7 linked regions of the Sus scrofa genome follow. The protein of the gene in region 3 purifies or fractionates together with the protein of the main gene of each other region. This does not show direct contact. Links are inferred from orthologs where the notes say so. Each region holds a gene or a part of one and is shown on either strand. Other genes may lie near its edges.

Evidence for each region.
Region 1: the proteins of TOP1 (region 3) and SUPT16H fractionate together in Homo sapiens (co-fractionation; 3 studies listed by BioGRID and IntAct, with this or other methods). This does not show direct contact. The link is inferred for Sus scrofa from reciprocal best matches to the Homo sapiens genes TOP1 and SUPT16H.
Region 2: the proteins of TOP1 (region 3) and CHD4 purify together in Homo sapiens (affinity purification with mass spectrometry; 3 studies listed by BioGRID and IntAct, with this or other methods). This does not show direct contact. The link is inferred for Sus scrofa from reciprocal best matches to the Homo sapiens genes TOP1 and CHD4.
Region 4: the proteins of TOP1 (region 3) and TOP2A purify together in Homo sapiens (co-immunoprecipitation; 4 studies listed by BioGRID and IntAct, with this or other methods). This does not show direct contact. The link is inferred for Sus scrofa from reciprocal best matches to the Homo sapiens genes TOP1 and TOP2A.
Region 5: the proteins of TOP1 (region 3) and EFTUD2 purify together in Homo sapiens (affinity purification with mass spectrometry; 3 studies listed by BioGRID and IntAct, with this or other methods). This does not show direct contact. The link is inferred for Sus scrofa from reciprocal best matches to the Homo sapiens genes TOP1 and EFTUD2.
Region 6: the proteins of TOP1 (region 3) and PCNA purify together in Homo sapiens (affinity purification with western blotting; 3 studies listed by BioGRID and IntAct, with this or other methods). This does not show direct contact. The link is inferred for Sus scrofa from reciprocal best matches to the Homo sapiens genes TOP1 and PCNA.
Region 7: the proteins of TOP1 (region 3) and HNRNPC purify together in Homo sapiens (affinity purification with mass spectrometry; 3 studies listed by BioGRID and IntAct, with this or other methods). This does not show direct contact. The link is inferred for Sus scrofa from reciprocal best matches to the Homo sapiens genes TOP1 and HNRNPC.

Annotation. Positions count from the first base shown.
Region 1 is NC_010449.5:77,794,650-77,798,575, reverse strand, and holds part of SUPT16H (FACT complex subunit SPT16), read right to left. Parts: intron 3,798-3,926; coding exon 3,645-3,797; intron 3,103-3,644; coding exon 2,956-3,102; intron 2,565-2,955; coding exon 2,413-2,564; intron 1,669-2,412; coding exon 1,496-1,668; intron 557-1,495; coding exon 466-556; intron 1-465. UniProt on the Homo sapiens protein: Component of the FACT complex, a general chromatin factor that acts to reorganize nucleosomes. The FACT complex is involved in multiple processes that require DNA as a template such as mRNA elongation, DNA replication and DNA repair.
Region 2 is NC_010447.5:64,102,489-64,106,000, forward strand, and holds the end of CHD4 (chromodomain-helicase-DNA-binding protein 4), read left to right. Parts: intron 1-843; coding exon 844-1,039; intron 1,040-1,811; coding exon 1,812-1,975; intron 1,976-2,158; coding exon 2,159-2,176; 3' UTR 2,177-2,724; downstream 2,725-3,512. UniProt on the Homo sapiens protein: ATP-dependent chromatin-remodeling factor that binds and distorts nucleosomal DNA. Acts as a component of the histone deacetylase NuRD complex which participates in the remodeling of chromatin.
Region 3 is NC_010459.5:43,769,003-43,772,928, forward strand, and holds part of TOP1 (DNA topoisomerase 1), read left to right. Parts: intron 1-566; coding exon 567-682; intron 683-3,926. UniProt on the Homo sapiens protein: Releases the supercoiling and torsional tension of DNA introduced during the DNA replication and transcription by transiently cleaving and rejoining one strand of the DNA duplex.
Region 4 is NC_010454.4:22,010,917-22,014,842, forward strand, and holds part of TOP2A (DNA topoisomerase 2-alpha), read left to right. Parts: coding exon 1-104; intron 105-667; coding exon 668-760; intron 761-1,424; coding exon 1,425-1,539; intron 1,540-1,642; coding exon 1,643-1,764; intron 1,765-3,362; coding exon 3,363-3,511; intron 3,512-3,926. UniProt on the Homo sapiens protein: Key decatenating enzyme that alters DNA topology by binding to two double-stranded DNA molecules, generating a double-stranded break in one of the strands, passing the intact strand through the broken strand, and religating the broken strand.
Region 5 is NC_010454.4:18,484,019-18,487,944, reverse strand, and holds part of EFTUD2 (116 kDa U5 small nuclear ribonucleoprotein component), read right to left. Parts: intron 2,192-3,926; coding exon 2,026-2,191; intron 1,385-2,025; coding exon 1,306-1,384; intron 636-1,305; coding exon 560-635; intron 91-559; coding exon 25-90; intron 1-24. UniProt on the Homo sapiens protein: Required for pre-mRNA splicing as component of the spliceosome, including pre-catalytic, catalytic and post-catalytic spliceosomal complexes. Component of the U5 snRNP and the U4/U6-U5 tri-snRNP complex, a building block of the spliceosome.
Region 6 is NC_010459.5:14,139,443-14,143,829, reverse strand, and holds the start of PCNA (proliferating cell nuclear antigen), read left to right. Parts: upstream 1-1,245; 5' UTR 1,246-1,286; coding exon 1,287-1,507; intron 1,508-2,403; coding exon 2,404-2,501; intron 2,502-2,660; coding exon 2,661-2,728; intron 2,729-3,461; coding exon 3,462-3,656; intron 3,657-4,387. UniProt on the Homo sapiens protein: Auxiliary protein of DNA polymerase delta and epsilon, is involved in the control of eukaryotic DNA replication by increasing the polymerase's processibility during elongation of the leading strand.
Region 7 is NC_010449.5:77,919,800-77,924,231, forward strand, and holds the start of HNRNPC (heterogeneous nuclear ribonucleoproteins C1/C2), read left to right. Parts: upstream 1-1,345; 5' UTR 1,346-1,474; intron 1,475-2,078; exon of another isoform or gene 2,079-2,123; intron 2,124-4,432. UniProt on the Homo sapiens protein: Binds pre-mRNA and nucleates the assembly of 40S hnRNP particles. Interacts with poly-U tracts in the 3'-UTR or 5'-UTR of mRNA and modulates the stability and the level of translation of bound mRNA molecules. Single HNRNPC tetramers bind 230-240 nucleotides.

The sequences.
Region 1 (3,926 bases), on a different chromosome or scaffold from region 3:
GAGCTGAGGTGTTCTAAGAGTGGAAATATAGCATGTAATGTCTTGACATTTATACCTTAAGCCTGGAAAACCTACTGGCATCAACTAAATTGACCCAGAAAAATCTCCACCATACCCTTGGGAGAAAAACCTAAATATTTATTGAGAGTTCTCTGTGGTGCAGCGGGTTAAGGATCCGGTGCTATCACTGCAGCAGTTGGGTGCCTGCTGTGACATGGGTTCAATCCCTGGCCTGGGAATTTTCATGACACAGGTGCAGCAAAAAAAAAAAAAAAATTTCCTCAACCCTCCCACAAAAAGACTAAAATATTTCTCATATTCTCTGATAACAAACTGTGTTTGGCATGCAGTTTAGTTTAATAGCCCATAAATATTGGTTAAATCATCTAAGAATATTTTACCTGACTACTTCCCGTCATGAAAATTGTCTCAGAGTGACAATGTATATATATCACACCATCTTACCCTAAGTTCTTGGTAATTTTGTTCAGCAGCTCCGGCTTCTGCTTTTTCACCACATCCATGACAGCATTATATACATCACATATCTTCACACCTAATGACAAAACAGAAGAAAGGGAACTTTATCTTTCAGAAAAAAAAAAGACATATTTTAATCAAGATTTTTTTCACCTATTAAGTCCCCTAAAGCAGGCTTTCTCAAAGGATAAAATAAGGAATACAGTGGCAGGAGTGGCAGAGCTTTGAAATTTGCATTTAAAAAAGCAATCCACCTGGTCACTCTTTAATTTCACCAGTTGAGAATCACTGACCCAGTGGGACTGTAGAGCCACATTGGTTTGACAGAAATAATTTAAGGAGTTCTCGTTGTGGCGCAGTGGAAACGAACTCGACTCGTGTCCATGAGGATACAGGTTCGAGCCCTGGCCTTGCTCAGTGGGTTAAAGATCTGGTGTTGCTGTGGCTGTGGTGTAGGCCAACAGCTGCAGCTCCAATTCGACCCCTAGCCTGGGAACTTCCATATGCCACATGTGCGGACCTTAAAAAAAAAAAAGTTAAATAAATAAATAATCTGGTTTTTAAAAAATAAATAAAGGTAATAAACACAAAGTCCCATTTAGCCAACTGGGAGTGAAGAGTCTCAAGGCAAAGATGTGTCAAGCATTTTGCTTCTGAGGTAGGCAGCTACTTGCTTAGCAGGGATGCTGTTAGTTCCGCTCTCAAACTAGATTCATGCTATCCGCTCAATACAGGATTAACATTACACACTCTGTTGGCAGAGATACTACTTCCCAAAAATAAGAAGAGTAATAAGGAAGATCTCGACACAGAGCCCTAACCAGAGAGGTTTTTGTAAACTTCATTATAACCACTCATGCATAAAAGAAAAGTAGACTGAAGAACTAAATGCTAGGATGATTCATAGTAAAATCTCATTCTACTTATAGTACAAGAGCCTCAGGGATATCAACTCCCATAAACGTTACAGACGTTTGTGTTACATGATTTCTAAACCTTTTCTAAGGCACCTCACCATGTCTTAATTCCTTTAGCAGCTCTTCTTGAAGCTGAAGCAAAAAGTTGTAATTTTCTTGAACCTCCTGAGAAGGATCAACCATCAAAGTGCGGACAAGGTTGGAGCAGTAAGATTTGAAACGAATACCCATGGCACAGGTAATGGCCCCAAAATGCATGTGATTCTTGTCACTACAGACCAAAGGAAGAAAGCATTTCATTACATCAACTAGTGAAGTCCTAAGGATCACTAACACACAATGTCAGTAATCACTATCTTCCCCCTGCAGTGTCCCAAAGCTGAAGAGGAAAAATAACCTACTTTTTTTTTTTTAAAAAGAACCAGTTTTTAAAAAGTTCTTAAAAAAAAAAAAAAAAGCTAAAAAGTTTTAAAAATAAACCAACTCTGGAGCAAAATTAGTGACCCAAACTCTTAGGATAAAAATTTAGTAAAAAGTTGCTGTATCCCAAATATGCAAGATATACTGAATTTTATTCATTATAGCTGAACAGGATGGCAGTGAGGTATCATTTCCCAGCAGTCCACTACAATTCACTGTGAATCAATCAGTCCCTTCAGACCAACCAGGACAAACAGCATTCTTTACAACTTTTTTTTTTTTTTTTTAATTAGAAGGGGAATTACATCATGGTATACCTAACATAATTTTAATGTTCTTCTTCCAACATGTTCTGAATTTTTTCTTAGCATTTTTAATCATTTGGAATCAGCTTACAATCAAATGCTCAAGTAGGAAATGAACAACTGTGTGAAACAAAAAAAAAATACGTGGAGAATAAGACAAGAAGATAATGTAAAAGGCTAGCCAACAGTTATTCTTTCTCCTACTTTTCTGAATTCTAGAATGAGTACAACAAAAAGCAGGCTGAAGGCTAAAATGCTCTGGCTGGTGGTATATTTGGAAATTCTCATACCTCACCACACTGAACTTGAGATTATAGTTGCCACCACTCTGAATGATAGGAGGGTAACACATTTCCACAGTAGAAGGGTCTGCCCCAGCTAGGTATTTCTTCTCTTCAATGGCCTTTTCCACAGACTCAGCCAGTTTGCTGTGTCGAACTTTCTGTAAGTATACCCAGAAATAAAACAATACTTACTAGAGTGTGGCAGAGGTGGAAATTATCATTTGAAGACAACACATATCCTGATTATCTTATAGGATGCTACAAAGTCTTATGAAGTGGTTTACCCACAGCTAATACACTGGTGTACACGCAAAACAAATTTAGAGAAAATGTGGAATTCGCAGCTATTAAAGGAATTCTCAAATAAAATACTAGGTAACCTCCAGAAACTACAGTGCAAATTTATAGTAATTGTGAAAGAGAGCTGGCACAACCACACCACCAACCTGCATATGGAAGGAAGCTCAACACGCACCAAAATACACTGCAAGGTAGGGACTTACTACTGTTTCATTAAAACAGTAAAAAGACTTCCTCCTCTCCACTTACCTCATCTGCATCGACTATTTCCATTACTCTTTCCTTGAAGAATTTGTTGAAGACCTCAGAAGTGATGCTGGCTGCTTTCTTCATTAGGTTGAGCTCTCCATCCTCCTTTACAGCAATGGTATAGGCCACAACTGCACTGATGTCTATCTGCAGTCAAAGGGACAAAGAGCTTCAGATGTGCAGACACAGAATTGCTAAGGAAACATCCCACTCCCAATTTGAATATTATCAGAGATGATATCTGGTTATCCAGCAAACTAGTCATCAGCAGTTTGCAGAACATCTAAATAGTCTCTTCTTGGACTGAAAAAAACATCTCAAAGAGGTCTTTACCAGGTCACAGTGTGTATCCTAAGAGGCATTAAACTAAAGTATCATTTAAAATGTCAATGTAAATGCCTCTCTCTTGAGGTTTTCGTAAAGGCTGAAGAAAGAAGAGCGACAGGAGAGAAGAGAAGCAAAAAAATTTTTTTGGACAAGAGATTTTTCTGTTTCCCTCTGAAGCAGCTGAATTATATTCTGAATGCCTCATTCCTAATCAAATAGTAAAACTGGCTTACTGCTCAGCCAAAGGGAATGACGAATAGAAATGTAAATTAATATAGTTTTCCCATAACAAATTCTCTGCACTCTGATATGGAAGCCCATCCTCTCACTCTCAATGTGCTTGCTTCCAAGAGTATTCTTACTTTGTCAAAGCCCTCTTTGTTGAGGCAGTCATTCCAGCTCTTCATGAACTCTCCTGGGAATTTGTCTTTGCTGAACACTCCAATCTTCTTGCCATTCTTGCTTTCTTTAATGGCTTCAATCATTTTGTCAAAGCTGCTCTTATTACTTTCATTCTATCAGTGCCACAGAGAAGAAAAAGCGTTTTAGAATTAGACATCCATGTTCTACTAGTGCCAAGCAGAGAATATCCTATGGACAGAATAAATTCCGCCCGGCCCACCTCTTCTCCTACCTACTTCATT
Region 2 (3,512 bases), on a different chromosome or scaffold from region 3:
CAGGCTAGGCGTCAAATTGGAGCTGTAGCCACCGGCCTACACCAGAGCCGCAGCAACTCGGGATCCGAGCCGCGTCTGCAACGTACACCACAGCTCACGGCAAGGCCGGATCGTTAACCCACTGAGCAAGGGCAGGGACCGAACCCGCAACCTCATGGTTCCTAGTCGGATTCGTTCACCACTGCGCCACGACGGGAACTCCCGGATCTTTTTTTTATATACATTTTATTTTTTTTATTTTTTATTTTTTTGTCCTTTTGCTATTTCTTTGGGTCGCTCCCGCAGCACATGGAGGTTCCCAGGCCAGGGGTCCAATCGGAGCTGTAGCCGCCAGCCTACGCCAGAGCCCCAGCAACGCGGGATCCGAGCCGCGTCTGCAACCTACACCACAGCTCACAGCAACGCCGGATCATTAACCCACGGAGCAAGGGCAGGGACCAAACCCGCAACCTCATGGTTCCTAGTCGGATTCGTTAACCACCGCGCCACGACGGGAACTCCAAATACATAGGATCTTAATACATAAAAAAATAAATATAAGGAAACACATCAAATGTTAACTGTTTTTAGGAGGTAGAATTGTGATTTTGATGCTTTATACATTCTGTATTTTCTAAATTGAGTTTTTATCATTTTTGTGTAAAAGTGAATCAGTAAGATAACTTAAAAAACTTGGACCACCAAAGAGGGATAAAAAAGCCAATGTAATGTTGAATTGGTGTTGAACACCAGTTCAGGTGTGAGGGAGCCATTCCTAAGGTTCTTCACAGGTTCTCAGAGGCCCGTCAGAATTAAGCCAAGTGAATTATCATTCCAATGCCCATCTCTTTATCCCTTGTCCAGCTCTTAGAACAAGCCCTGGTGATTGAGGAACAGCTGCGTCGGGCAGCTTACCTGAACATGTCAGAGGACCCCTCCCACCCTTCCATGGCCCTGAACACCCGCTTTGCTGAGGTGGAGTGTTTGGCGGAGAGTCATCAGCACCTGTCCAAGGAGTCAATGGCAGGAAACAAGCCAGCCAATGCGGTCCTGCACAAAGGTAGCCAGTGGCTCCCCTGCCTCCTGCTGACTTAGCCTCCTTCTTTCTCTGTCCCTCCCCAACACATTTGGGGAGCTTTGCCTTCCTCCTCAGGAAGCTAATATCTCACAGGCAATCAAGGACAGTAGTTCTTTGCCTCTTAACTTCTTGAATATACTCAGCTTTTTGGAGAGGTGGAGAGCAACCCAGAATAATACATAGTGTTATCTGGGCTACTTTAGAGGTAACTTCAGGTTATTTACGATCTTGTGCTTTCTAGACCCCCTTTCAACATCCTGTTTCTAATTAAAGGTAAGACATTGTGAGGGGGTGGAGGGTGAAATGAGGAAAAGGCAGCTGTTATAAAGGAAGAGGGAGACAGCTCCAAAAGTGGAGAGGAAAGAAATAGGAATAGCTATTTAAGAAGTGGCGGAGTTCCCTGGTGGCCTAGTGGTTAAAGATTTGGTGTTGTCACTGCTGTGGCATGGTTCTCTCCCTGGCCTGGAAGCTTTTGCATGCTGCAGGCACAGTCAAGAAAAAATAAAAGTGATGGAGATAGAGACAGGGATCAAGAGACAGAGGTAACTTTAAAACATAGAATCATGGACACTTGGAATTGGAATATGAGGAATAGGAATTTGAGCGTGGTGGAGCCAGGTCAGGTGACTGACAAGACAGCACTCCAGCACGTCACTTGATCATTGAGAAGTGATGGGAAAGCCGGTCCACATATTATAAGATGGGCCTAGGTCTTGACCACCACGGCTCACCGCCTTTTTTCCCCCCCATGCAGTTCTGAAACAGCTAGAAGAACTGCTGAGTGACATGAAAGCCGATGTGACTCGACTCCCAGCTACTATTGCCCGAATTCCCCCAGTTGCTGTGAGGCTACAGATGTCCGAGCGTAACATTCTCAGCCGCCTGGCAAACCGGGCACCTGAACCGACTCCACAGCAGGTATAGGACCATTTTCCTCTGGCCATCTGTTCCAGCAGAGCCACTCTGGAACTTGTAACGTTGCTGTCTGTCCCTGGCTTTACACATTGGGCAGGTGGGGCTGGTCCACCAGTGAGTTCCTTTGGGGTCAGGAGGGTTCCTGGGGTCTGACATTCTGACCCTCTTGGCTCTCTCTTTCTCTAGGTAGCCCAGCAGCAGTGAAGATCCAGATGGATGATACCACGTCCACCGCTGAGCAGTGACCTTCCTCACTTTCCCTTGCCCAGCTTCTCCCCTGGGGGCCTGAGAGACCCTCTCCTCCCTTCTGCCCCATCTTCCAAGCTGTAGAGGAACAGCCCCCAGTGCACTGGGGGAGGGGAGGGAGTGAGGGGCAGTGGTGCCCTTCCTGCTGGAGAGACATGCAGCAGTAGCGCCGGCGCCATCTGCAGGGAGCTGGCGGGCTGGCCTTTTGGGCCCTGGCTTCTCCCCACTGTAACGTCTGTTACACACAAACTGTTGTGGGTTCCCGCCAGGCTTGAAGAAAATGATCTGAATTTCTTCCTCCTTTTGGTTTTATTTTGTTGGTTTATTTTGTGTTTTCATTTCTCCTTTTTGGGGGGTATTCACAGTGGGCCGGGCCCCTGGGCGAGACACAGCTACCTCTGTTGGCATCTTTTTAATACCAGGAACCCAGCGGCTCCAGCCCCTGAGCGGCTAGAATGAAATAAAGTTGGAAAAAAAAAAAAAAAAAAAAAGGAAAAGAACCAAAAGCATAAAAAACCACAGCAAATTTCTTGACAAAAATTGAAAATAAAAGTTTCCTTGTATTTTAGTGCTCTGGTTCAGTGTGGGTGTAGGTGCAGGTGGGTGTGTCCGACGGGAGCCTTGGGACAGTGCAGCTGAAGACCAAGGGTTTCCTTGTGTCCTGAGACTCCACGAAATCTGGACTGTGCACCTACCCTCGTGCTCCGGCCGCCACCACCTGCACGCTGCGAGGAGCTCCGGAGCCCCCTGGGTTCACAGCCTAAGCCTGACTCCCAGCTTCGCGGCCGTCTCCAGGCTGTAGATGTCTGCTGTAGAGAATCAAAGGAGAATCTTCCTCGCAACATTGCGAAGACAAACCAGCGAAGTGCCGGAGCAGTTTTGAACAGCTGCTAAGCACCACCTTAGGGTTTATTTCAAGAAAGGCTGCTCTGGGTTTTCTGTTTGTGTGAAGTGAGAACACAAGATGCCGTCCTCCCGACCTCTCGTATGGGAACCAAGGCAGAGAGTTCCCTTACCTGAGGGGCAGCGCGGGGTATGGTGTCAAGGAAGAAGGTTTCAAAGTCACAGGACTTGGGAGTGGGTGCGACCTTGAGACGTGGGGCGAAAGAGGGTCCGGCTCTGACGCCTCCGTCCGAAGGGAGGGGCCGTCTTTTGGGTACCAGTTTTTCGGACGAAATCCGCCATAAGGCGTAAGGCCCACATCTGGAGGGAAGGGCGGGGAAGCTAAAGGCGTCCCCCTACGCGCCGCCTTCTCCACCTGGGAGAGAGCAGAGCGGTCCTCCCCGGCCGCCCT
Region 3 (3,926 bases):
TTTTGATTTATATTTTCCTAATAATTGGTGATGTTGAGCATTTCTTCAGATGCTTATTGGCCATTTGTAGATTTTTGGAAGTATTCAAGTTCTTTGCCTTGAAGAACTTGTGTTCCCAGCTTTCTGTTTTATTGGGTACTTTCTCAAAGGGTTGTTTCCCCTACACTTTCACCTGGGATCTCCATTCCCAGGAGGCCTTTTCCTATGTATCAACCGTATAAATAATACCTCTGTCTTATGTACCATTGTGATAAAACAACTGTTTCTGTTTCCATATCCCCTATTTATTGCTGAGTAATGTTCTCATGTACTCAATATCTTTGAACTAAACTGTTGAATTATATTTTCCTCTGCTTACCTGAGTATTTCATCTTATTTGTTGTGAGTATTGGCTTTTTCAAAGTGAAGGATGTTGGTTATTTTGATCCAGGCCTTGAATGTGGGGCCCAGAGTCACTCCAGAGCAGTAGTCAGTTGAGCAGATAATTATTTTGACATTTAATGGGTAATGATCTCTGTATTAGGTGAAGTAATCACTAAATGAGATTGTGCTTTTGTTTTTTAAAGGTGGGAAGAAGAGCGCTATCCTGAAGGCATCAAGTGGAAATTCCTAGAACATAAAGGTCCTGTATTTGCTCCACCATATGAACCTCTTCCAGAGAGTGTCAAGTTTTACTATGATGGTGAGTTGTTCCAAGATTGTCAGATTCTTGGCCAAGGAAAGAGAATTCCTCTATTTAGGAATAGAAAGTGAGGAAAAATCTTGTGCTGTGTAATCTTTTTTGTTCACTTCATTTTGTTTTATTGTTGTCATTTGGTTTGGGGAAAGTCATCAGGTATTTACTTAACTCTTAAAGACCCATTTGGTGCAGAAAAAGTGCTCTGAGAAAGGGGTTATTAATGTCTTATTTACATGGTCTCAGAAGGGTCCATCTACATAGCACTTGGTCCACAAGCTAGATGTTTTTCTCTGAACTAACTTTCTTTCTTAATTGAAGTAAATTTACAGTGTTGTGTTAGTTTCAGGTGTACAGGAAGTGATTCAGTTTATATATATATATTCAGTTTATATATACATACACATATATATCTATATATATGTAGTTTTCCCTTATAGATTATTATAAAATATCAAGTATAGTACCCTGTGCTATACAATAGGTCTTTGTTGATGGAACTTCATTTCTAAGGAGCTACTCTTCATAAAAGTTACTAAAAAAGCCTTACTTGAATGGCAGTATTGTAATTTAGTGATATAATACAAGCGGACAAGATGCTCATCACTCAAAACAGTATTTCGTACTTGGTTGTGAATTAGTCTGCCATCAACCTCTAGGTAGGACTGGTAGATGTCTGTCACTCATTCTACATAGTACAACACTATGGCTTTGCCCTTTGTGCAGTCAAGTCTGACTAGCTGCTTTGAAGAACTAATCCTACCTAGTTCTCTTATAACCCTCAGAATTTTCTGTTTATTAACTATCATTGCTGTTTCTGTCCTTGGGTTGAAGATTTTTGAGAGTAGTCTTTGATGCTCCCTTATTAGGCAGATAGCAGCATGCAGATAGTAATACTCAACTGATTTCCTTCATTCCAAGAGTTTTCTCCAGAAATGGCTAAAGCATTATTCCTCAAACCCTTAGGTCCCCAGTGGATCTGGGCCCATTTAGTAGGTGTTGAGTGGTATTGGGTGCTTCTGAACTAAGGGGTCTGCTGACCAAAACTTTGAGAAACATTGAGCCAGGAGAACTGCTGAAAAACATCAGTAGGTGAACATTCAGAGCGTTTTGGTATATCTCTGTCCACGTAGCATTGGCCTCAGGCCATGGATGCTTATAAGTCAAGGGTAGTAGTTTATACTGAAAGTCTGGGTCTTGCAAATCAGGGATGTGTCGAACTTGTCAAGCTGGAATTTTTGTTTTTTTTAAACTATGTATTCACTATGACTGTGTTTACACACGAAGACCCAGCAGTGGACAATACTAACTAATAAATCCCTGTTCCCATGGAGTGTGCAGTCTAGCAGGACCTTATAGCCTCCATGACAAATGCTTGCATCATGTAAACATTCTGACTTGAGTTGATTGGAGAGCACAGGACAGAGTAGAGCTCTACTGTCAGCCCTCAGAGTGGGTAATTCCTGGAGACAGTAAAAATGTGACTCAAAGCCAAAACTCCAGTGGTGAGAAAGAACCTTAGCTAATCATAGAAAGAAATGTGGTATTCTGTAGCCCTAGTCTGGTAAAGACTAACTGTGGGATCCAAAGTTATTTGAAGGAAAGCTAGATTCCTTTCCTTAGCCTTTGGTTTCTCTTTATTTTCTGAGGTGGAAAGCCGAGACTTGAGCTACTCACCATGGTCCCTTCCCACATTCTTGCCCATCGTATGAGCTCCATTCTTGTTCCATTATATGAACTCTAGCTCTAGGGCTCTTGCATTTTTTTCATTTGATCTTTCTGGGGTTTCTTCCCTTTAATTAGGTAAACTAATTATTGACTGCAGTAAGTCAAGAAGTTGTATCTGACTTAGTCTAAGTTGATACTGTCAGTTCTGCCTCTTTTCTAGGGAAGAGAATCTTCAGACTCCTTAGTGCCTTTTAGGGAGATGTGGGGCACGAGCTGGCTGAAGCAGTGAATGGCCTCCAAGAACCTCCAATTTTCAGCTCTGACTCAGCAGTTTCTTCCTGGAATTCAGCCTTTTCCACAAAACACTGCCATTGCCGGGAACTTTCTAGTTATCCTCCTACCCTTCCACTGCTGGGAGCTGTCATTTCATCTTTGACAGCTCATCTTAAATGGGAGGCATCAAAAGTACTTTCTCTATTGGGATAGAATTCAGTAAAATTTCCTGAAGAGTCTCTCTCTCTCTCTTTTTTTTTTTTTTGGCTTTTCAGGACCACATTCACGGCATATGGAGGTTCCCAGGCTAGGGATCCAGTCAGAGCTACAGCTGCCGGCCTATGCCACAGGCACAGCAACATCAGATCTGAGCCGTGTTAGACTACGGCTCACAACCAACACGGGATCCTTAACCCACTGAGCAAGGCCAGGGATCGAACCCAAAACCTCATGGTTCCTAGTCAGAGTCGTTTCCACTGAGCCACGATGGGAACTCCTTTTTTAAAATATTGTTTATATTTAGTTTAACATACCCCAAAGTAGTTTGCATTCTTTCTTGCCTTTATGTATTTTATTCTTGGTGACTTAATGTTTTCCTTTATGTTAGAAGCATGTTACAACTTAACTGGCAACACCGATTCGGACTTGAGTGGGGTAATTCTGAAGAAGTGCAAGAAACTCTTTAAAGCCAGCCCTTCCTCCCCATGGTGTCCTTTTTGGAAGGAGCTGGAAGGTTGAGAGGGGAAGCAGCGCCACCTGTTGGCCTTTTAAAGTAATGCATTTCAAACAGGGTCTTTCTGTCTACCCTAAAACTTCAGTTTGAGTCTTTAGTTCCTGATATCCCTATAATTAGAGTGATAACTTTCCAGCCGTTCTTCTCAGTTTTGAAATGAATGCATTTCTGGTTAATTTTACTTTTATATAATAAATGTGAAATCTTTGGTGAATTAGTACCTGTGTAATAGTAAGACAGTGGAGAAACATGTACAATGCCAAGAAGCCCAGTCATCCCTTTGTTTTAGATGAGTCCCATTTCCCTGAAAGGGGCAACCTGATAAAGCCTGTGTTGCAGAGAGCATCTCAAACTCTGTGTACACGAGCTACCTGGGGGGGTCTCATTAAAATGCGCTTTCTGGGAGTTCTCCTGTAGTGCAGTGGGTTAAGGATCTGGTGTGTCACTGTAGTGGTTTGGGTCACTGCTATGGGATGGGTTCAATCCCTGGCCTGGGAACTTGCGCATGCCGTGGGCACGGCCAAAAAAAAAAAAGGCACTTTCTGGTTCAGTAGGTCTGGGGTGGGGCCTGAGATT
Region 4 (3,926 bases), on a different chromosome or scaffold from region 3:
GTACCAGCACATCAAAAGAAGCTAAAGAATACTTTGCAGATATGAAAAGACATCGTATCCAATTCAAATATTCCGGTCCTGAAGATGATGCTGCAATCAGCCTGGTGAGTTTGAGTTATATTTCACACATACATTCTGGTTATAGAGATCAATGCTTTAACTGGTCATTTCAAACATTTAAATTTTCACGTAATAAAATATAGAGTAGAGGAGTTCCCATCGTGGTGCAGCAGAAACGAATCCAGGTTCAATCCCTGGTCTTGCTCAGTGGGTTAAGGATCCCCACTGAGGTTGCAGGTTCAATCCCTGGCCTTGCTCAGTGGGTTAAGGATCTGGCGTTGCTGTGAGCTGTGGTGTAGGCTGCAGATGCGGCTTGGATCTGGCATTGCTATGGCTGTGGCGTAGGCTAGCAGCTGTAGCTCCGATTAGACCCCTAGCCTAGGAACCTTCATATGCTGCGAGTGCAGCCCTAAAAAGACAGAAAAGCCAAAAAAAAATATATATATATAGAGAGAGAGAGTAGAATGTTTTCAGTAATCATATTCCAGAGAAAGGAGGCATATATTTTAGAAAACTGAGATTTTGTTGTTTATTAGTTAATTTCTTATAGAAGAAATAACTTGGAACCTGTCTACCAGTGACATCTTTTTCATCTTCTAATTTGCAGGCCTTTAGCAAAAAACAGATAGATGATCGAAAGGAATGGTTAACGCATTTCATGGAAGATAGACGGCAACGAAAGTTACTTGGCCTTCCTGAGGTACAAAAAAATTTTTTAATATAGCCCACGAAATGTACTATTTATTGACCTTTTAGAATTGACAGAGCAAATTAAAATTAATAGTTATTTCACTAGAAATGTTAATAATAGATAACTGTATATCCTTATTTAGACACCTGCATAAATGTGTTAAACCTGAAAGAAACTAGAAAGTTAATGCATTTTTTTTCTAATTGTGCAGCAGTTAAATTCGCTTTGTCTTTAAAACATATAAAATACTTTTCATAAATCTTTATTTTTGAGGGATTTAAGAATTATCATGGAGAGAGTTCCCATTGTGGCTCAGTGGAAATGAATCTAACTAGCATCCATGAGGATGCAAGTTCGATCCCTGGCCTTGCTCAGTGGGTTAAGGATCCAGTGTTGCCATGGGCTGTGGTGTGAGTCACAGATGTGGCTCGGATCTGGCATTGCTGCGGCTGTGGTGTAGGCCAGCAGCTCTGATTCAACCCCTAGCCTGGGAACCTCCATATGCTGCGGCTGCAGCCCTAAAAAGACAAAAAGACCAAAAAAAGAAAATTTTTTTTTCATGGAAATAACAGTGCTAAGGAATGCCTTTGTTTTATTTTTGTCTTAATCGTTGTTATGACCAGTGATATTTTTTATTTTTAACTAGATCATGTAACACTCTTTGGTTTCTCAGGATTACTTGTATGGGCAAACTACCACATATCTGACATACAATGACTTCATAAACAAGGAACTTATCCTGTTCTCAAATTCTGATAATGAGAGATCTATCCCATCCATGGTGGATGGTGAGTTTCAATTTATTGGTCTATTTTTATTATAACATGGAAATCAATGCCCAGAAATGGTTAAATTGAGGATATTAATATTTACACTTCTTTCGTTTTGAAGGTTTGAAACCGGGACAGAGAAAAGTTTTGTTTACATGTTTCAAACGAAATGACAAGCGAGAAGTGAAGGTGGCCCAGTTAGCTGGGTCAGTAGCTGAGATGTCCTCTTATCATCATGGTGAGGTAAATACATAATCCATAATGTTTCCAGAAAGCATTATAGCAGAAATACCTGCAAAGTCAGTCTCCAAACAGTTGGTGAAAATATAAGCTGGTATATCCATAGTGGAGAGCAATTTGGTGAAAACTATCAAACTGTAAAATGTGCTTATTTTTTGACCTTACAAATCTATTTATAAAAATAATATAAGGATACTATAATCAAAAGACATGCAAGGATCTATATTCAAAAGTGTTTAATAATGTTTGCTGTAACTTTGTTATGCCACAATTTAGACATGAAAAATGTCCATCAATTGGAACATTACTATAAATTGTGACACATCTATACATGGGATCAGATTTACTTAAGTAAATCTATGTGTGCTAACACTGAAGAATGTCCACGTTCTATTGTCAGGTGAGGGAATAAAGGAGGCAGAATAATACTTGAAGGATGTGCTCCAAATTGTTAACTTTGGTTATCCCTAGGAATTGGAAAGGGCAACTTTCCAGTTTTTCATATATGTCTGAATTGATTTTGTACAAACATACATATTGGTTTTGTTTTTGTTTGTTTGTTTACTTGCTTTTCCAGGGCCGTGCCTGTGGCACACGGAAGTCTGTGGGTTAGGGGTCGACTCAGAGCTGCAGCTGCCGGCCTGCACCACAGCTCACAGTAGCGCCGGAGACTTAACCCACTGGGCAAAGCCAAAGATCAAACCCACATTCTCACGGATACTAGTGGTGTTTGTTACCACTGAACCACAATGGGAACTCCTACATATTCATTTTTTAATTTTGTGATTGAAGTTGCTTTTTTTGCATTGATGTAAAACAATTTTAAAGAATTAGGTTGCCTGTAAGTTTCTAGAACTTTAAAGGTAATGATTGCCTTGCTTGTTGCTTTCAATCAAAATATAGCAGCTAGGAGTTCCTGCTATGGCACAATGGTATTGGTGGTGTCTTGGGACACAGGTTCGGTCCCCAGCCTAGCACAGTGGGTTAAGGAATCCAGCATTGCCACAGCTGCGACTTAGGTTGCAAGTGTGGCTTGAATCTGATCCCTGGCCCAGGAACTCTATATGCCGTGGGGTAGCTAAAAAAGAAAAAAATTAAAAATATATACATGGGCTACTCAGTAAATGTTCACACAGTAAACATTTGTTGAATGCTTACCATCTACCAAGTGTACAAAGATAAATCATATGTTTGCTACCTTTAAGGAGTTAAAATCACAGTTTAACCATATGACTATCTCTTTCTCTCTCTCTCTCTCTCACACATACAAAATGGTAGAATAGAGTGATACATGCTAGAATAGAAATGAGCAAAATGTTTTAACACAAAGAAGGAAATATTTCATTCTGCTGAGGGTGAAGAGAAGAGCTATGCCTTTAAGGTTGAGTCAGATGATAAAAACCATGTAAGGCAAGAGCCCAGAGCTTGGAGACAGAAGTCTTGGGTTTAGATACTACTTCTGTTATGTTTTCATATGTAAAAAGCCAATAAAGATCTACATTTCATAAAATCTTACAGGAGTATAGTGAGGCATAGTCATAATCAGACAGTTATTATTAAAAGCCTACAGATAAGATTAATGAATCTTTTTTCCCCCCCAGATGTCACTTATGATGACCATTATCAATTTGGCTCAGAATTTTGTGGGTAGCAATAATCTGAACCTCTTACAGCCCATTGGTCAGTTTGGTACCAGGTTGCATGGTGGCAAGGATTCTGCTAGTCCTCGATACATCTTCACAATGCTCAGGTGGGTATGCTTCCAATTTTCAGTGAATTGCCATTTCCAATTTTGAAGTATTATGACATTTAGTTGACCAAAAATTTTTAAATTCAGTTAATCAGAAAATATGTCTTTGTTGCAGATGCTCGGATATTAATTTTTTTTTGTCTTTTTTTGGTCTTTTTTTTGCTATTTCTTGGGCCGCTCCCACGGCATATGGAGGTTCCCAGGCTAGGGGTCGAGTCGGAGCTGTAGCTGCTGGCCTACGCCAGAGCCACAGCAACGCGGGATCCGAGCCGCGTCTGCAACCTACACCACAGCTCACGGCAACGCCGGATCGTTAACCCACTGAGCAAGCACAGGGACCAAACCCGCAACCTCATGGTTCCTAGTTGGATTCGTTAACCACTGCGCCATGACAGGAACTCCCGGATATTAATTT
Region 5 (3,926 bases), on a different chromosome or scaffold from region 3:
ACCCTCCACAGAATTTCTACTTACATCTTGGTCATAGCGCTTTCTGATTTCCGGGTGAGTCTGCTCTATTAAACAATCTACAAAACACGTCTGCAAGGGAAAAGAAAGTTATGTTCTGCTGGCCACAGAGGAAAATCGACTCCACCCTCCCCCAGTTACCAATACACCACACAATTCAGGGATAAGGAGAGGAGGAGGAGAGCAGGGGAGATTATGGGACAACAAAGAAATAAAGAAGCCACGGGATTATTTTCAAATGAAAGATGAAATCTTTCTTGGGCAAGCGTCCTCCAGGAAATGAAAACTTATAAAATAAAGTAAGGCCCAATTTCCCCTCTGCTGTCCAGATGTAGACACAAGGCTCAGGCATGCAAGTGGCTTAGCTTTCCATCTGCTGCTCAGGAAAAGCTGGGATTTCACGGCTCGGTTTCACAATAGGCTCCAGGGAGGCCCTGCAGAGTCAGGAGGTCCAGCCTTATGGCCTCAGACCCCAATTAGTGACTCTTAGGCTGAAACACTCAGCAGAAACAAAGAGCAACCCTGTTCCAAGTTCCCTCACCTTGCCATGGTGGAGATGGCCACAGAGCGTCACGTTTCTGATGAGCTCCGAGTTATCCATCAGATCTGCCAAGAAACTGAAAGGAGAAAGGAAGAGAGAAAAGGGACTCTGGCAACGGTTTTCAAACAAAGGAGCGGTGCAGAGATGTTCTAGGTATTTTTGGCCAGGAACAATTTTCAGCCCAACTGGAGAATGTTCCAAGGCAGACATGAATTTCTACCCCTACACAGTTCAGGCTTTGGGAATGGAACAGACTCATTTGTGAGGTGACATAATCTTGAAATGTCATGGAGCTTTCAATAGGAAAATAATGACATTTAAAAAGCAAGTAAGGGTGAGTTCCTGTTGTGGCGCAGTGGAAACAAATCCGACTAGGAACCATGAGACTGCAGGTTCAATCCCTGGCCTCGCTCAGTGGGCTAAGGATCTGGTGTTACCATGAGCTATGGTGTAGGTCGCAGACGAGGCTCGAATCTGGCGTGGTTGTGGCTGTGGTGTAGGCCGGCAGCTGTAGCTCCGATTAGACCCCTAGCCTGGGAACCTCCATATGCTGAGGGTGCAGCCCTAGTAAAAGACAAAAAAAAAAGGAAGAAAGAAAGAAAGAAAATGCTGGCAAATTGTAGGGAGAGAGTTCTGCTTTCACAATAATTCACTGGCTACTTCAACCACAAACCACCTCCTACCTCCACAAAAAAAATGAACCCATACTGTTTGTGCAGAGATGCTGCAAGACCTTAATAACTTACTCCATTTCATACACTGTGACAGGTAGTGTCTGCTCCATCAGAGTGAATTTCTTGGTTTTCACTGGCTTAATAATGGGTTCTAGGAGAAAAAAAAAGTAGTGATGTGCAGGTAGGCATAAAACATAAAAACACAGAGCCCTATTCCAACAGACTGAGCTTTCAGAATATACGATATGCGACATCAATTTATGCTATTCTCATGGGTCACTGAGATTGAGAAAGTCCTGGGAATGCTATTTGGCACGAGACAGTGAAGGGTCTTGAACTGTGGAGTGAGGTGTTTGGACTTTATTTTGTGAGAGGAAGAGAGAGGGACTAGATAGAGGATGAGCTCGATATCAGTTCAAAAGCACTCCTTGCATTTAAAAATGCAACCACTTTCCAGAAGCTCAGTGAAAATTAGTAAAGTGGAAAATAAGCATTGTGAAGACTAGTTAAAGGAGTTGGTATTGTTTGGATATCAGACCAGAAGAGAACTTAAAGACTGTCTTCAAGCACCTAAACGGATATTAGATTAAAAGAAAGAACGCTCTCTCTCTTTGTAACTCTTATTTGCTAAGTAATAAGCTATGAGTTTTACTGAATATCAAAATGGGGTTAATTGAATCTCAATCTAGACATAGTACCTGAAAGAGAAACTAATCAGTTCATTCACTGAGCTTTCAAGACAGTTTTCTGGTTTCGGATTCAGCGCTCCCCAGCCAGCGCCTCCAGACTCACCGGTGAGAGGCTGCGTGTCCTCCTCCTGAACTATGGTCTCCACTTCGGGGCCGTACACCTCCTCGGCTGTGGGGTAGTACTTCTTGTCCTCATGCAGCACCACCTCCATCCCAGGGTGCTCTTCATCATGATCTCCTACATCGTCATCGTCGTCCTCGTCGTCCATCTAAAAGCAAGAGAGCGAAGACGGTTGGAAGGGGTGCGCACTTTTCCTGTTCAATGACCGGCCAACATTACACGAGTTAAAAGCAATGGCTCCACACACTTGACAGCTTCTTATTTTGAGTTCTGTGCTAGAGAGTCAGCGGGGCAGGTTCTACTGTGTGATGCTCCACAAAGAGAAGACTAGGCTAGGACTGTGGATGGCTCGCCTGATTCAAACTAACCCTTCCAAAAATGTGGGCCACTGGTTACAAGTGGATGGAGATTGGAGAAAACAAATGGCTTATTGCAACACACTCTTTTAAGGGAAAAAATAACTTCCTCCATGGGCAGAAATAAGAGGCAGAAACTGGGAACACGTCCATACCTTTAAAATTTTCTCTTAGACTCACAGAATTGTTTTTGAAAAATACCTTTGTGACAGATAAATAACAGGTGTTGGCAAGGATGTGGAGAACCTGGAGCCCTTATACCCTGCTGATGGGAATGGAAAATAGTGCAGCTGCTTTGGGAACAGTTTGTTCATTCTTCAAGATGTTAAATACAAAGTTACCACATGACCCAGCAATCCTGCTCCCAGATATCTAGGCCAGACAAACAAAAACTTAGGTTCACACAAAAACATAAATAAATATTCATAGTAGCATTATTCTTAATAGTTAAAAGGCAGAAACAACCGAAATGTTGATGGAATGATGCATGGATAAATAAAATGTGGTACATCCATACAATGGAATATTATTTGGTAATAAAAAGAAATTTAATACTTATTCTTGGTACAACATGCATGAACCTAAGATACATTACGCTAAGTAAAAGAAACCAGACACAGGGAGTTCTCTTGTGGCTCAGTGGGTTAAAGATTCAGTGCTGTCCCTGCTGTGGCTGTGGGTACATCTGTGGTGTGGGTTCGATCCCTGACCTGGGAACTTCCATATGCTGCAGGTGTAGCCAAAGAAAAAAAGGAAAAAAAGAAAGAAAGAAACCAAACACAAAATGGCTCATATTCTACAATTCTGTTTATACGAAATGTCCAGAAAAGGCAAATCTATAGAGACAGAAAATAGACTAGTGTTGCCTAGGGATGGAGCGGGGTAAGAGAACTGGGCGGCAATGGTTACAGGGTAAGAGATTTCTTTCCCAGATGATGAAAACATTTCTACAACTGATTATGATGACGGATGCATGACTAGGAATACCCTAAAAAAAAAAACCCAGTGAAATATACATAGGAAATGGGTGAATTGTGAGGTATGTGAATTTTTTTTCTTTTGGCCATGCCCATGGCATATGAAAGTTCCTGGGCCAGGGGTCAAACCCGCACAGCACTGACCCAAGCCACTGTAATGACTAGGCTGGATCCTTAACCCACTGGGCCATAAGAAAACTCCTGCATGAATTATACTTCAATAAAACTGTTAAAAAATAACTTCGTAACCTCCATTTTGCTAATACACAGGTAATTAGAAAACAGTCAAGCAAAAACTAAAATCAATTATATATATATATATATATATTTTTTTTTTTTTAGGGCTGCACCTGTGGCATATGGAAGTTCCCAGGCTAGGGGTCAAATTGGAGCTGTAGCTGCCAGCCTACACCACAGCCACAGCAATGCCAAATCCAACCAAGCCTTATCTGCGACCTGCACCACAGCTCATGGCAATGCCAGATCCTTCACCCACTGAGCGAGGCCAGGGATCAAACCTGCCTCCTCATGGATACTAGTCAGATTCATT
Region 6 (4,387 bases), about 30 Mb from region 3:
AATACGAGCTACAGCTGCTGGCCTATGCCACAGCAACTCCAGATCCAAGCCGCGTCTGTGACCTACACCACAGCTCACGGCAACGCCTGATCCTTAACTCACTGAGCAAGGCCAGGGATCGAGCCGCAACCTCAGGGTTCCTAATCGGATTGTTTCCACTGCGCTACTAGGGGAACTCCCTGAATTTTGTTTTTATTTAATTATTTATTTATTTTTGTCTTTTCTAGGGCAGCTCCCGCGGCACATGGAGGTTCCCAGGCTAGGGGTCCAATCGGAGCTGTAGCCACCAGCCTACTACTCCAGAGCCACAGCAACTCAGAATCTCAGCCGCATCTGCAACCTATACCACAGCTCACAGCAACGCCGGATCCTTAACCCGCTGAGCAAGGCCAGGGTTCGAACCCGCAACCTCATGGTTCCTAGTCGGATTCGTTAACCACTGCGCCACGACGGGAACTCCTGAATTTTGTTTTTAAAAGTACATTTGTACAAAAAAAAAAGCTTAGAAAGTTGTATGCAGTAAACGATAGTTTGGTGTGTGTGTGGTGGGGGAGGCGATGGCAGTGGGGAGCCACGATAACTGTTTTCTTTTAATCATAACTGTACATCTCTTTATTGTTCACTTTTAGGAACGCTTCTATAATTGCTACTCTATAATAGCAGGGGGAAAAAAGTGCATATTTAAAGTAGCTATACTCTTTAGGCGCATGGTGGCTCTTCCTCCTAGAAGGCTGGATTTCCGTTTCACCTTCACTTTCAAGGCTGTAAATGTCCCATCCCTCAAGCGGGAAATTGATGAGGCACCACAAAGCCACCTCAACGACCCCCCCCCAAGCCTAGGCCTGACCTTCACACTTGCCCCGACTTGTCTAACGTCCGGGCGCCGGAACACGACAAAAAGGCGGGGAGCCCCGCAGGATGCCTATCAGCAGGCCCTCGTTAGGCGCAAGATTCCTGCCCCGCCCCTACGCCCACACTCTCCAATGGATGTTCGGGGTGGGACGGGCTTCATGTGGAGCAGGGACACGATTGGCTCCGCAGCCTCTCCGCCCAGGCAGTGGGCGGGGCAGCGTGGTGACGTAGCCATGAAGGGCGTGGGGGCGTAGCGCGCGCTCGCAGACGCGGCTGTATTAAACCGCTGCAGGCGCGGCCGGCTGGCAGTGTGCGTCCTCCGGTTCAGGCTCTGTTGTGGTGTTTTCCTGCTCTCTCTCAACTTCTGAAGCCTAAGCCGGCTACTCCTTCCTTCTTTCTTCCACCTGTAGCCGCGTCGTTGTGATTCCACCACCATGTTCGAGGCGCGCCTGGTCCAGGGCTCTATCCTGAAGAAGGTGCTGGAAGCGCTTAAAGACCTCATCAACGAGGCCTGCTGGGACATCAGCTCCAGCGGCGTGAACCTGCAGAGCATGGACTCGTCTCATGTCTCTTTGGTGCAGCTCACCCTGCGCTCCGAGGGCTTCGACACGTACCGCTGCGACCGCAATTTGGCCATGGGCGTGAACCTCACCAGGTGAGTCCCGAAGCCGCAGACTGTCGGGCCCGCGGACACCCCTACCTCCGCTCTTGGCGGGAGCGCCCATAAGGCGGGCCCTTATTGGCTGGCGTGGGATATCTGCACCTTTCTTATTGGCCTGTGGCGCGGGGCGGGGGGGCGGGACCAGTAGCAGAGCGCGCGGTTCGGAAAGCCCGCGCTGACTGCAGCGCGAACCGGCTGTTTCCGCGCCAAAGTCACAAAGCAAGTGGTGGCGGGAAAACGACGGGCTTCTTCGCGGTGCCAGGAAAAGATTGTTGCGGAGCCCTTGGTTATTAATTGCAGGCGCCTTTAGATGAGCCGCTTTATAATTTGCCCTACTTCTGTCGCCGTGATATGGACAATAGCTTACTTTTTTACCGCAAAGTTGCAGTGAACATCCTAAGATCCTGGATTTGAGGAAAAATTTCTCCAGGAAGGACAGTGGTTTTAAACTTTTTGATCACTACCTTTCCTAGTACATACACATGTTTAAGTTTTAAAGCTTGTGAAAAGTGTTTACCCGTGCTACACTCAATATAATAGACTGGTGCTTCAGTGGGTACATTAAAATCTAAGATCGTCGCGGCCCAATAATTTACTTCACCCACCAAAGGGATTTGTACTTTCTAAAATACTGGTCTTTTTTTTAATATCCCGAAGCGAAATTGCACATTGTGGGGTGTGGGCTTTTTCGTATAAGTATAAATACTGGCAGATTGCATTCCAAAACGGCTGGACTCTCTTACATCTTCCTGCAGTACGTTTCCCAAACTCGCCAATTCGACACGTGGTCCAGTGGTTAAAAGTGGTAACTCATGGTTTTAATTGAGTTAGAAAGCTAACGATCTTGAGAAGATGGTGTCGATTTTAAACTCTTGTCTCCTGTGTTCCAGCATGTCCAAAATACTAAAATGTGCTGGCAATGAAGACATCATTACGCTAAGGGCAGAAGATAATGCAGACACCTTGGCACTAGTGTTTGAAGCTCCAAGTAAGTTACACCCTTCTGAGTTAATGCTAGAGGAGATTAGAATGCAGTGTCTTTATTTCCCAAAGCTGAGAGAAATTTAAGATAGTTTGTGGTAATTGTAAAATTTATCACAATTATAAACCTACATGTTTTTCTTCATCGTTTGCTTTCTTTTGGTAGATCAGGAAAAGGTTTCAGACTATGAAATGAAGTTAATGGATTTAGATGTTGAGCAACTTGGAATTCCAGTGAGTATCAAAGTTTCTGATTGAGCATACTACATACAGTCATGATAGTTACATAAAATATATTAATATAATAAAGCCTACTTCCTAAAAGAGCTTTTTCTGTATATCTGCTCATGTATGTTCCAAATCCGAGTATTTAGACTGATATAAATGATGGTATTCTGCAATGGCTCATTGTTTTGAATTGATTGCTGCCACATGCATATTTGCATTAACCTAATTGACTCTCTTCTTTTTATTCCTACAATGCTTAATTTTTTATTGAGTACATTTTAAAGCTACTTTAGCAGAAATTCATTATGCTTTGGTTTATCAACATTAAATGAGAGAAGAGGGTTTGGATGTTTAATATGCCTAGTAATTGTATTTTCTTGTTTTGTTTTTCAAAAAAATGACGGCCTGTTAGCACCGTCATTGTGTGTGTGCTATACCCTAATGTTCTCTTGATTTAACCCTGTAGATCATTTAAGGGGAGGCTCTTGTTCCCTGGACAGTGCATTTACTATAAAAGTTCAAGTTCTTATTTGTTTCCTTTGATTATTTTATAACATTCTTGTTCTATAACTGTGTTTACGTTTTGAGTGGTTAGAGTATGTTAAGAAATTACACAAAGTGATATTTCAAAATAATTAGAAAACCTTAAATTCTCTTGTTTAAATGCTGAGTCTTCAGACAGTAAGGGTGCCAAATCTTTCATTTCCATTCATTGAACTTAAGTTTCCTTGTTTCATAGGAACAAGAGTACAGCTGTGTAGTAAAGATGCCTTCTGGTGAATTTGCACGTATATGCCGAGATCTCAGTCACATTGGAGATGCTGTTGTAATTTCCTGTGCAAAAGATGGAGTGAAATTTTCTGCAAGTGGAGAACTCGGAAATGGAAATATTAAGTTGTCACAAACGAGTAATGTTGATAAAGAGGAGGAAGCAGTAAGTAATTTCTAAGTAAACACAGTACTTTGAAAAGTAACTTTATGCTGCTGTAACAAGATTCCATAGACTAAGTGGCTTATAAACAACAAAAATTTATTTCTTACAGTTATGGAGACTAGGAAACTGGCAGATTTTGGTTTCTGAACCGCTTCTTGGTTCACAGATAGCAGCCTTCTGTGAAAAGGGGCAAGAGAGAGCTTTGTGGTCATTTGTAAGGATATTCACGAAGGCTCTGCCTGCTTAACCCTAAGTATCTCCCAAAGGCCCCACCTCAAACAGCATTACATTCATTACATTGGGGATTTGGTTTTAATGTGAATTTGGCAGGGGAAGGGGGGATGGGATGGGACATGACCGTCTGTGGCAAGGTAATTGCTAAAATTAAAGAAAACTCTAAAGAAAAATAGTCAAAATTTGCATTTCCAAGTAACTAATTTGTGAGAACTTGAAAGACTTGATGTCTTAAGGTGGTTTATAAATGCCATCTAAATTGTGAGAAGGCAATGCAAATTCAGTGCAACCTTTATAAACTATAGAACAATGGGTTTGTGTATCAAACCCAAACATAGAATAGGATTGGGAAGCTATATATATCCGAATATTGTGGAAAATTTGATTTAAAACAAACAAACTGGGGAGTTTCCATTGTGGTTCAGTGGTTAATGAACCCAACTAGTATTCATGAGGATGCAAGTTCGATCCCTGGCCTTGCTCAGTGGGTTAAGGAT
Region 7 (4,432 bases), on a different chromosome or scaffold from region 3:
ACCCCAGCTGATCATACCGATTACCTTGCTGCTTCTAATGCTGTATAAAACGTACTCTTGCCCCAACTCCCTGGGGAAGTGTGCTCCACTGCTTGTGAGTCACTGTACTCTTCCAACCATGGACTGCTCTCCCTAAGTAAATGACATTCAACTTGTTACTAAATGGCCTTTTTTTTTTTTTTTTCCATTTGATAGGTAACAAGTAATTTCCTTGTGAATCTCTCTGGAATTCAGACATAATTCAAAATTAATGCATAAAACTGTATTCACATATACATATATTCCATAAGATGTATACAGATGGTATCACATTATCTAGATAGTATTCTGCATCTTGCTTTCTCTAACTGTACAGAGAAATATCCTTCATTCCTAGCATAGCTGGACCTATCCCACTGTGTGCATGGCTGCTATAATATAACCAGCGGGACTGGCAGGCGATGCCTGGAGCCAGAAGGTGGGAGACTAGCTATTTCAGATGAGGGGAAGAAGGGAGCAGATTTGGGGGACGAGCAGGGGGTAGGATTAGATGGGCAAGCCAATTCTGGTTGGCATGTAGGGTATTCGTGAAATGATTTGGGGCCAGAGGATGGGTGCTGTAATACTTCAGGCCAACATTTTAGACTTTCTTTACCTTTTGCAGTGGAGAGGAATAAGGAAGTCAGCTGTTTTGGGTGAGATACAGGTTGTCTAAAGAAGGGCTTGACAGGTTAAGTGTTGTCCAAATGGGAGCTCTAAGGTTGGAGTTTTGCAGGATTGGTTACTTTTCTAGTCCTTGGTGCTCCCTCCCAATTCTAAGAAAAGTGTTTTCTTTATCCACACAGCAGTATAGAGGATTCATTCGGAGATTCCTGCTTCCCTTTACCTAGGCCCGGAGCTAGGGCACATCCTTTGAGCCGCTACCAAACAAAATCCCGCAATCCTTCCCCGCCCCCGCGCCGCCGGAATTCCGAGATCCCGGCGGGCCTTCTACCAGGTTCTCTAAGGAGCAGTGATAGGATCCCGTAGCCGCCAATCACAACCTCCCGGATACCCGGATATGAAGTGGTGCGCGGTACAAAGGCAGGTTTCCACCTACCGCTTCGTCAGTTACAGTGGCCAATAAGCATTTCTCAGGTGATAAATGACAGGAAAAATAACCAGTTACAAACTAATTTCGCTCACGCATGTGGAAATTCTCTTGCTTAGTCTAACCCACCACTGATTGTGATTGGACAGAATTGTGAAGAGCGGTAGAACTGTCTAATTAGAAGCGGGAGCGAGAAAAAGCTCAGCCAATAGGAAGAGTCCTAGAAGTGGGGCGGGGACTAGGCCTTCGCCTCGGCGGCAGAGGAGACTCGGGGGCCATTTTGTGAAGAGGCGAAGACTGAGCGGTTGCGGCGGTGTTGCCGACCTCGAGCAGCAGTCCGCTTCTCCACGTAGAACCCGGGAGTAGGAGATTCAGAATCGAATCTCTTCTCCCTCCCCCCTCCTGGTAAGTGGAGGGGGTGGAAGCAGGGGAGTCGCTGGGTTCCTTGGGGAGCGCGAGGGGGTGTGGGAGAAGACGGGGGAACCCTCCTCTCGGTAGAGTAAGCAGGCCCCCGTTTATTCTATTTGCACGGGGGGATTAGATCTTATGCAAGAGAGTTTTATAGGCCTCAGCCCTTGCGTGGATTTTTAACCTAATGTCCTCTAGGCCAGGATCGGCAGGGAGAATGTCCTTTTTCTTCTTCTCGCTCTCCTGTGTTAACGGCTGCTGTCCTTTCATTTTCTATGACCATGAGGTCTCTAAGAGAGATCATGAAAGGGAAGATCGAAATGCTCATTAGTATAGTCCTGTAAATTTAAAAATTGAGCGGGGGATGGGAAGGGTTATCAAGCAGATATTTATTGTACCGCAAGCCTCTAAATTCTGGAGCGTACCACAGGGTATAGTAATAAATATAACAATAGGTTTAATATTTTACCGGTTAGTTTTTGTTTCACTCCTCCCTGAGCAAATGATGGACTTCGACGTAGTTATTTTCAATTCTATTTTTTAAATTGTAATCTCATTTACATATTAACAGTAATAATGAAAGCTGGCTTTTTATCTACAGGTTACAAATCACTTGAAATATATAAGTTAGTGGAGCTTGCTTGAGGTAGGTATTACTGTCTTTCTCAGATAGAAACCGCAGCATGAGAGTGTGGATTGCCAGGGTCGTATTAAATCAGTAGCAGGAGTAGTAAGGAATTTGGCCACTAGGTTAAATTAAATGGCTTTTCCTACCTCTTGATGTGGTAGATACTAACATACTGTATTTGAATCTTTACAAGAACGTAATTACAGCAACCACTAGCGGTAATTGGAAATTCCCAAACTGCCCTTGGGAAAAATATTAAATTATGAGAATTACATATACTATTGTTGTAACTTCCTAAGACAATAAAGTTTGACTTTCAGGGTATTCTGGCATGCATTTTACAGATCATCCAAACGTTGACCAAAAAAAATGCGTGCCTGTATGCTTTTTATTAAGTAGGTATTATAGTGCTTATTATTTGCTAGGTTCTGAAGCATTCAAGTTTTTTCCTAAACTTGCAAAAATTATGTGGGTTTTTTAGTAGTATCACATTCGCATATCAGATCCTTTTTTTAATTCTTGTGTAAGATTTAGGTGATTTTATTTTTCATAACGTGTTGCTTTCACAAAAGCTAGTATTAGCACAGTTTAAACCAGTGCTGCAGAATAAATTCATCCCTTAGGAAACATACTTCATAGGCGCTGAAAGTATTCTTATTTTACATAGCTATGTACTTGTTCCCTCACCATGTAGATAACTGTTCTAATTGTAGTAAGAATCAAAAACGTTGCTTGGGAGTTCCCGTCGTGGCGCAGTGGTTAACGAATCCGACTAGGAACCATGAGGTTGCGGGTTCGGTCCTGCCTTGCTCAGTGGGTTAACGATCTGGCGTTGCGTGAGCTGTGGTGTAGGTTGCAGACACGGCTCGGATCCGCGTTGCTGTGGCTCTGGCGTAGGCGGTGGCTGCAGCTCCGATTCGACCCTAGCCTGGAACCTCCATATGCGCGGAGCGGCCAAAGAATAGCCAAAAAAAAAAAAAAAAAAAAAAAAAAAAAAAAAAAAAAAAAAAAAAAAAACGTTGCTTGCTTTTTTTTTTTTTTTGGATAAAGCCTGAATATTTATACTATTACATGGACTTAAAACTAAAATTAAGTGCAGAACTGCCAGAAGTGACATAAGGGGAGTTCGCTGGTGGCTCAGTGGGATAAAGATAAGTCACTGCTGTGGTGTAGGTTCAATACCTGGCCTAGGAACTTCCACATGCCTCAGTTGAGGCCAAAAAAAAAAAGCAGTGATTAGTTAATTTAGGGAATTATATACCTCAAAAATATTATTGGCAAATAGAAATGTAAGAAATAAGTTTTTAGGAATAATTATTCATAGGAATTGGAATTGAAGGACACTTCTTGCCTTGAGGTGTTAGAAATAACGGGTTCATTAAGATCAGCATGTACCAAGGTAACAGTTCCTTTGAGTTAATGTCTATCCGGGATGATTTGGCCACAGAATTAGTATCTAAAACAGTTGTAGATTTGATTTCAAGTAGGTAGGCATTAGTAACATTTTCATGTTGGCTGAAGAAGATTTAAGAAGGAAGATGCAATTGACCTTTTTGTGTTTCCCAGTGCTTATGCCACAGGAAAACTTGATGGTATTTGCTATTCCTTTGGTAGAGAATTTAAACACACCTTTTCCGTGATTATGTCTCCAGAGGGTTTTACATGGTGTGGGACCTTGTTATTATGAATGGAACTGCTGTTAGAAACAAGAAACTCCAAGGTAGCTAGTTATTCTAATACTAAAGATTAATCTTTTAACTGTGAGGCTTTAACTGGGGAGTGTTAGCAGTAGAAAGATCCTTGGCTTAGGAGGAGTTAAGAGAACTGGATATTTCCCCCTCCCCCCATTATTACCTCTCAGGCAAATCAGTTAAACTTTCTGGAATTCAGTTTTACACTTATGAGGGAGCTTAGATTTCTTACATGTTTTAATTTTGTTGCCAGAAAGCTAAAACATGTACAGAAATAGTTTTAATGTTGAAAGCAGTTTTGTTTTTGGCTATACCCTCAGCATTCCTGGGCCAGGGATTGAACCTGAGCCACAGTTGTAATGTCAGATCCTTAACCCCATGCACCACACAGGAACTTCTGAAAGCAGTTTTTGTGTATTAGTAGTTACTATTAACTACCTTAGTAACAGTATTTCAGTCTTCAAATAATTTTATTATTGTCTTTGGGGGATGTTACGTGCTCAAATTTAATGTGTACTCATTCTCATTGGGATCAGAGAAGCTTAAGGTTTTGTACACAATTTACTAGAGAATTGACTATGATAAAGAACCAGCACTGTTAGATGTAGCATAATGCTTGTATTCTTTTAGATATTT